Linked DNA regions of Arabidopsis thaliana. The protein of the gene in region 1 interacts with the protein of each later gene in a pairwise test. Each region holds a gene or a part of one and is shown on either strand. Other genes may lie near its edges.

Region 1 (4,443 bases):
ACTTTATTTTTAAGTTTGATTGAAAATTTAGTTTCCCGATGCAGATATCCCATTTTAGCGTAATCATATATAAGGCATCAAGTACAAACTAACTTGAGATAGAAATAACTAACTCATGAAAAAGCAAAGGGCCCTTCAAAAGCTTTAAAATATCGTACATGCCTTGAAACATGAGCAACCTAGCTCTTAACACATAAATGTTTATTATTTGTCATATATACAGTTACGTTCATGCATGGGATATATATACTGGTTAAGGTAATATACATATGTACTGATTTATCATATACATGTACTAGATATACTTTAGTACATTCACATTTTATATGCCTCTAATTGGCAAACTGTCAAATATGAAAATCGTACAAGTATGTACATATGAAATAAAATTGCGGATGTAAGAAATTAAACTTAATTTATTTGAAATTGCCATTAAAAAAAGCTATCAAACATAGAATATGAAAATAGCTAGTTAACCATAAAAGGCAACTACAGATTTTATGTGGGTGATAAAAGAATAACAAAACATATATTCGGCAATTCTACTGAGACTAACAATGTAAAGATCAATCATCAAACAGTTGACTAGAAGAAATAAGTAACGAATAAGTACAAAATATATAGATCCTAAAATATTATAAGAACAGCAATAATATATAGTTTCCGTACAGATTATAAAACACGAGCAAAACTAATCCGGTAAACATAACAAAGCTTATATATTTTTTATTTTTTTTTGTTTTGTTTTGTTTTGTCTCATCTCTAAACCCTACGTCAAACTCACAATGACAAAACATATATATCTCGTTCTTACATTCCCATGCATCACTCATAGATAAAAATTAATAAATTGTATCACCCAAATGGCGAGTTTCTTCCTTGTATTAATCCACCATTAGGGTTCATCATAGGACTCAATGGTGATCTCCTAGGCGATGGCCTTTCCAGTAATTTCCCACCATTATTCCCTTCATCACCTGATAAACCTGATTTCCTTTCGTAGATCTCCGACAAAGAATCCAAATCCGTGGAGACATGTGTAGCCATCTGTATCTGAATTCTATGCTCATCATCGATCGATTGGTTTGCGGAAAGATCGTGATCTTGATCAGACCACATCAATAGTCCTTTCCTTACATCGTTACCAAAATTAGGATTAGGTCGCTTCTTCCCCAAGTAAATGTTGGTGTCTGCAGCATTGTTACCCGTGAAATGGTTCTCTATGTTTTGATGATGGAAGTTGTGATGGTCGAGGACTTGGTCGGTTGTGTTTCCATAGATGTTTAGGTCTTGAAACGGCGGGAAACTAAGAGGATGAGGAGGTGGGCCCACCGCTGCTGAAAGACTCGAACTTCCCAGATTACCCTTGTATCCTCCTCCGACGGCGGCTGCTGCGGTGGCGGCTGCCATGTTCTCACCGGCTAGGGTTTGGCAAGCTCTCTCCAAGATAGATTGCATGTACTTTCCTTGTGCTTCAATCCTCAGTTGCAGATGTCTTTGCACCTATAAAAATTGAATGAAATCATTTACTATATTTATGGGATACAAATTGATTTTGTACAAGCAGTTATCATAGAATATCTATAGGTTAATTAATTACCTCTAGCTGTTCATGCAACCTTCTCTGCACTTCCATTTGCATCCTGATCAAACCAACCTGGTGTGAGTTGCTGTAATATATATTAAAATGAAAGTTGAGAAAATTAACGAAATCTGATTAAAATATTACTCATTCATGTTGCGACTCATCATGCCAGAAGAAGAAGCTACGTTGCGCTGAATATCCATGGCAGAAGCTACACGTACGGTAAAAAAAATTAGAAGAAGACGGATCAAAGAACATATATATACATTAATACATATCTATATTATGGGTAACTTTTTTATAAAAACCCTAATTTGATAGAGAAAGGAAGAGTGGTCACCTCTTGAACCTTCCTTTGTGGAGTGATCTCCGTACTCCTTGTGCGGCTGCTTTCCAAGCCTGAATTTCTGCACCCATAGATCCAAATAAGTTGTTAGATTATTATATTATATTATTAAGTGAAAAAAAGAATAGAAAAGATAAAGAGGAGAGAAAATTAAAAGCAAGGAAGAAAAAAACCCTAATCTATATTTGTGTACATACCTGAAGATGGCTCTTTAGGTGGTAAAGAGTAAGACCCTTCACACCCATAACTCTCATAATCGTCTTTGGGGTCGCTTCTGCAAATAGAAATGATCAAAAACTTTGAAAAAACACATTTATAATTGGTTAAATGGATTGAATATATATTTGTGTATGTGTGTTCATACTGTCGGGGCCGCCGAGCTGAGCGACGGCGTCCACAAAACGCTCGTGGAGTTCGACGGTCCAACGCAAACGCGGTTTAGGGTCGGTGGTGAGGACAAGGCCTGAATCGCCTTGAACGCACATAGCTCTGTTCTCATATGAACCATTCATACTTGAAGGTTTCTTAGCATGGAACATTCTCTCTCTCTCTCTCTCTGACTCTCTTTCTCTCTCTGAAAGAGGGGATTCAAGAAACGAATGTGATGCAAAAATGTGAGAGAATACGATGCGTTTTTGAAGAGATCAGATGACGGCTTTTTTTTCTCTCTCTCGTCTTTTTTGTTTTGTTTGTAAATAAATTATGGTTTAGTTAAATATGTTTTATCGTTAGTAAGGAAGAGAACTAAAGTTTCAGACTAGTACACAGACGTTCCTTTGTGAAAAGATACTGTCGCTATCTTTTTCATTTGTGTTTTTTATCCTCTTAGCTTGAATACCTTTGAATTTCTTTCAATATAAAATGTGTGTAAAAGCCACTATACGTATACATTAAGTAAATCATGTCTGTCTCAGATTATTAAATTACTGCGCAAACTTAAAATAATAGTATATATTAGATATTAAATTGATATCTTTGGGGGAAATTGAATTTTGAACATCGGAGATCTCATATCAAAACGGTTATGGATGTGACGACGAAAAAAACAAAAAAAAAAGACGAAAAAAAGCGGTTACGGATGTATCTAATATATATGCATGATTTGTTGCATGATGGTTTTTATTTCTTTATTTCCTGATATAAACATTAAAATGACTTGAGATATCTAAGTTAAAATATAATTCACCTGAATCAAAGATATTGCACATCTATTATTCTTATATTTTTGGTTTCTTTTTCTTTACTACCTTATAATTTAGAAGTAATTTTTAAATCCAAATTTATCATACAATTGTTCTATATACTATTTTCTTAATCATGCTTGATTTGGAGTAAATAGTAATCAAAGATTTGTAAATATTTTCTTTATAGGAAAATATAAACTTTTAAAGTGAATATATTAAAGTTCTATGTATTCTATTCAATTAAGACCGCACGAGGAGAGTCGTATACTAGACTTATAGTTTGTCTACATCGTCATATATCGTAATTGGAGGCATACATACAAATATCTTAACGAAACAAATTCCACAAGGCTAGGGATTTTATCATTTATGGTAGGGTAAACCTTTTTGGCTAATTATGAGGTGAATATACAATTCTAAGCAATGATGAGCTTCGTTATAAATTAATAGACCGTATATTTTTGGAACAAATTTATTATATACATGCAATCCAAAACCGTTAGGTACGGTGGAATATTTGTCTACGACAAAAACGTTTTCCATTCATCGATTAGTAAAAGATGTAGTTTACATCCGCAATTAACTAGCTAGCAAAAGAAAAAAGAAACAAAAAGGTGAACAAACGAGATAATTAACTAAATTACTTGTATGGACACTACAAACCAGAAAATCAACTTTGTTAATATTGCCCTATTAGCTACTAAACTAGCTTATGTATAGAACGACGATGCATTTTTCAATATACAAACTAAAATCATATATAATTCATATACGCAACGATTTAGATTAACCCCTAAATTCAATTGCATGCATGTAAAATAAATGGTCAACCTAAATATATATGAGTGGGAGGTCCCATAGCATATTTACATAGAACAAGAATAAGTCAATGAATATGGCTGAGGCTGATATGCACACACAAAAAAGAGAGAATATTATCTAAGAATAAAATTTGAATTGAATCAGAAATTTATTAGAGGTTATATATTAAGTATTAATTAAGGGAAAGCATGTACATGTTAAAATGTAGACCAATACCAGTCAATGAATATTGAATTAAAACAAAAAAATTAACATAAGAATATGGAACAATTTTTTAAAGTTATACATATTATAAACACGGACTATTAATATGTGGAGAATTATGCATCAATGTGTAAAGATAGAGTTAACGTTGGGGACCTCTTCTTCTACTTATTAAAGCTCTTTTATTCTTTTTATTTTTACCATATGTTTTTCTTCTTTTCTCCATTTTAATTTATTGGTTAAAGCTTGCTGGGGCTATAACCTTTTTTGGCTTTTGTAGGACTGACGATTGTGCAGCTATA
Region 2 (3,488 bases), on another chromosome or scaffold:
TTATTTCCATAAATACTGTATATAAATCTCTTGATACTACTTATACACTATCACTATCTTGTATCTTTTGCTATTTTTTTTTTTTTATTTTTTTTTTGTATCTTTTGCTATTTACATAGGATCGTTTCTCAGTTACATTACTGCCTAAAGCTTTGACTAAATTAAAAGTGTCTCCGCATCCTTTTTTTTTTATTTGCAGACATTTTTTGAAACCCTTTTTTTTTTTTTTTGGGTCAAACATTTTTTGAAACGTTAGATATCTATATAGTGCCTATAATTTATCATATTTACAAAAACTCACGGAACTTTGGATATTTACCAAACGTCCTTGAGTCTTGATATTTGCTGAATTAGCAGAAAGGCAGAAACTGTTGCTATCAACCAACCTGGAACTTTTGCTATTTACATAAGTGCCTAGAACTTTTCTTAGACACGGAAATGCCAGAATCATCTAACTTTAATTTTACAGGTGAGCCCAAACTTTTTGTTTTCAATTCACTGAATTACGTAATAGTATTATATTTTGATTTGTTGCTTATGGGGAGACCAAAGATTATATATTCTGCACTCAAAAACATTTGCATTTGACAACAACTTTTACCATTTACATTCGTTTCTCACAACCAAAAAAAGAAGAAGATCCATTCTAAAAAAGGATCAAATGTATAAAAAGCTATAATACCAAAAATGGAAATAAAAATCGAATTTTAATAGCTCCATAAGGACACGTCATCATCTCCCTCGACATCAAAATTATAGTTCCATTGAACCGACGGCGACGGTAAAAGCATCCCTTCGGCCATGTTATCCAACAAACTAGACATCCCCAACATCGCCTCTTCATCCATATAAAACGCATCTTGGCTCTGTTCCGGCGTATAAATAGCCTCCACCAAGGTCTCCTCCATGTCAAGACCATGAGCATCCGTCGTCATATGACACATCTCATCTTGAAAATTCAACGCGGCTTCAGCCGCCGCCTTTTGGATTTCCTTGGCACAGGTTGATTCCGGGATTCGTAGCCGCCAAGCCGAGTCAGCGAAATTGAGACAGGCAGATCTGCCACGGAGAGCTATGGCGGCGACGTCGTGAGCACGAGCTGCCATCTCAGCGGTTTGGAAAGTCCCGAGCCAAATCCTCGTTTTCTTGTTTGGCTCTCTCAACTCACACACCCACTTACCGGAGTTTCTTTGACGAACTCCTCTGTAAATTGGGTGACGAGTCTCACGAAACTTCTTCCTTCCCGCTGGTTTCTTGGGGCAGCTCGTGGCAAGCTTCGGACTGTAATCACCGCCTGAGGAAACCGGAGACTCGTAATCGGAGCCAAACATTTCAGAAAAGGCAGAAAATGAGTTCATTGATCAGAAGAGTACTCTGTTTCAAGAAACTGGATAAGGTTTATGAGAGTAGAGTAAGTAGAAGATCTCTGTCTTTTTTTGTATGGTATGATAAAATATTTATTTCTCTATCTATCTTTCTTTTCTAATTCAGGTAAGTGTTTGAAGTTATAGAAATGTTGGAGTGAGAGCTTGCTGTTTATATTGGCCGGAAGATATTTGGATATTTGTGGGGTCGAACGCGGAGTTTCTGTCTCTGTGAATGCCACGTGGATAAGAAACAGCTAAGCGATCCCACGGTTTTGTAATTATCAAGGCTGTCAATCACTGAGAATCTGACATGTGTCCTTTGACCCATCTTGGGAAGTTTCTGACCCTTCACTGGTTGATGCCTTTAGGGTATGAATTTTTTTAACTTCTTATTGTATGAATGTGTGGCTGTAGTTTATAGGGTACGACAACCATTATTAAATATTATTTTTCCACGAATAACAAATTGTTTATAATTGTCGCTTTTCTATGGTAAAATAATTAGACATAATGATCCGTGAAACGAGATATTTTCAAATGCTCTTTCTGTCTTTTCTCCATTCACATATCGTGCATTGCAAATACTTCTAGAGTATAGTGAGATTAGATATTTGTGTCCTAAAAAAAATGTTATATTATTATTATTATTATTATATATATATATATATATTTGATTTAATTAATCAAGTTTCGTAGCATAGATATGTAAATTTAATTATTCAGAAAAATTTATATATTGTTTCAAAAAATTTGAATATGCTAGAGTAATTTCCTAAGATTCACGGAGGCTATAAACTTTTTTACTCAGGATTTCTTTAAGATATTGAGAAATGAGAACACAAGTTGCTTAAAATCGAAGGAACAAAAAGAAAGCTTTTGGATATTCTTTACATAAGTATACATACATGGTCGAGAATTAACAAGTGGCAGGGGTGTATTAATTGGATATATATGTGAGAGACAAGATAGGGTTTGTGTAATTTGGCAAAAGGAAAATATCAAATATGGTAAGTGGTTAGGCGAAAAGACATTTTGCATGTAGTTGATCACAATTTCCAGCATCTCTCTAACAAAAGTATGGTTCCTCCTCATACCTCTTCTCTTCTTCTCCCCCTTGGCTTAGACTTAGAGCGTCTTCGTCCTCTTTACTCTTCTTTTGTTCAACCACCATCTCTATCTTTTGTCCTCTCCTCTTCATCTTCATTTCTTCCAACCTTCTTTTTGGTCTGAAAACTCGCCGGACGCCACCGTGAGTTGAGTTTTCCGGCAAAGTAGAAAGGTAAACCTTTTTTACAGAACTTATTTGTTTTGTTTTCCTTACAACATACAAATTAAAATCATAAATGTTCACCGTCCCTTCGCTACTTGTCTAATAATAATCTGGATTATCAGATTTGCCAGAACAACAAAAATAATAATAATTACGAAGTAAACAATTTTATTAATTCTAAAGTCCAAATTAAATTGATTGTGGTTGATCTATTAACCCCGCTTATATATATTTTTTTTGTTTTTTCGCTTATATATTTCTTAAACTCGACTCATATATTTTTTGAGAAAAAAATACTCCACCGAATAATAATACAGGAGCATAAAATTACTAAATAAAAACTGGTTTAAGCCAAGGATTAGACCGATATAGTAGCAAGTTATACATCACTTTCAAATTCCAATAATAGCTATAAAATATCTCAAATCTCAACAACAGCAATAAAATATCTTCACAACGAACGTTTCTCTCTCTCGCTACCTCTCGCTATCAATTGTCGTCTCACGGTATTGACATATTCGGAGAAATAATACGACAAGGAATGGTGCGCGAAAGAAAGTGGTTTAGGACCTTAAGGTACAGAAAACGACAAACAAGATATTAGTATAAAAAAAGAAAGTAAAACTTGAAAATGACATGACATTGGTTACAAGAGGAGCCACGTAGAGGGCCAATGAAGGGGAAGCTACGGACAGTGCTCTCTTGTGGGACCCATATTTCTGTTTATGGTGTACGGTCTATTATTGGAGGTTTTGCTGAATCGGTTGTTTCGGTTTTATACTCTAATTTAAACAACATTTTTTTGTTACTGCTCTAAAAATACTTGCATTTAAGAATAGCCCACACTTATA

What was found. The genes of interacting proteins can lie anywhere in the genome.
Region 2: the proteins of APL (region 1) and CBF2 interact in a two-hybrid assay, tested with the Arabidopsis thaliana proteins (one large-scale study listed by BioGRID).

Annotation. Positions count from the first base shown.
Region 1 is NC_003070.9:29,876,666-29,881,108, forward strand, and holds APL (Homeodomain-like superfamily protein), read right to left. Parts: upstream 2,615-4,443; 5' UTR 2,471-2,614; coding exon 2,296-2,470; exon of another isoform or gene 2,206-2,295; coding exon 2,129-2,205; intron 1,993-2,128; coding exon 1,926-1,992; intron 1,797-1,925; coding exon 1,730-1,796; intron 1,644-1,729; coding exon 1,601-1,643; intron 1,504-1,600; coding exon 856-1,503; 3' UTR 563-855; downstream 1-562. UniProt on the Arabidopsis thaliana protein: Transcription factor required for phloem identity. Has a dual role both in promoting phloem differentiation and in repressing xylem differentiation during vascular development. Regulates the expression of the transcription factor NAC045 (AC A4VCM0).
Region 2 is NC_003075.7:13,014,729-13,018,216, forward strand, and holds CBF2 (C-repeat/DRE binding factor 2), read right to left. Parts: upstream 1,508-3,488; 5' UTR 1,359-1,507; coding exon 708-1,358; 3' UTR 522-707; downstream 1-521. UniProt on the Arabidopsis thaliana protein: Transcriptional activator that binds specifically to the DNA sequence 5'-[AG]CCGAC-3'. Binding to the C-repeat/DRE element mediates cold-inducible transcription. CBF/DREB1 factors play a key role in freezing tolerance and cold acclimation.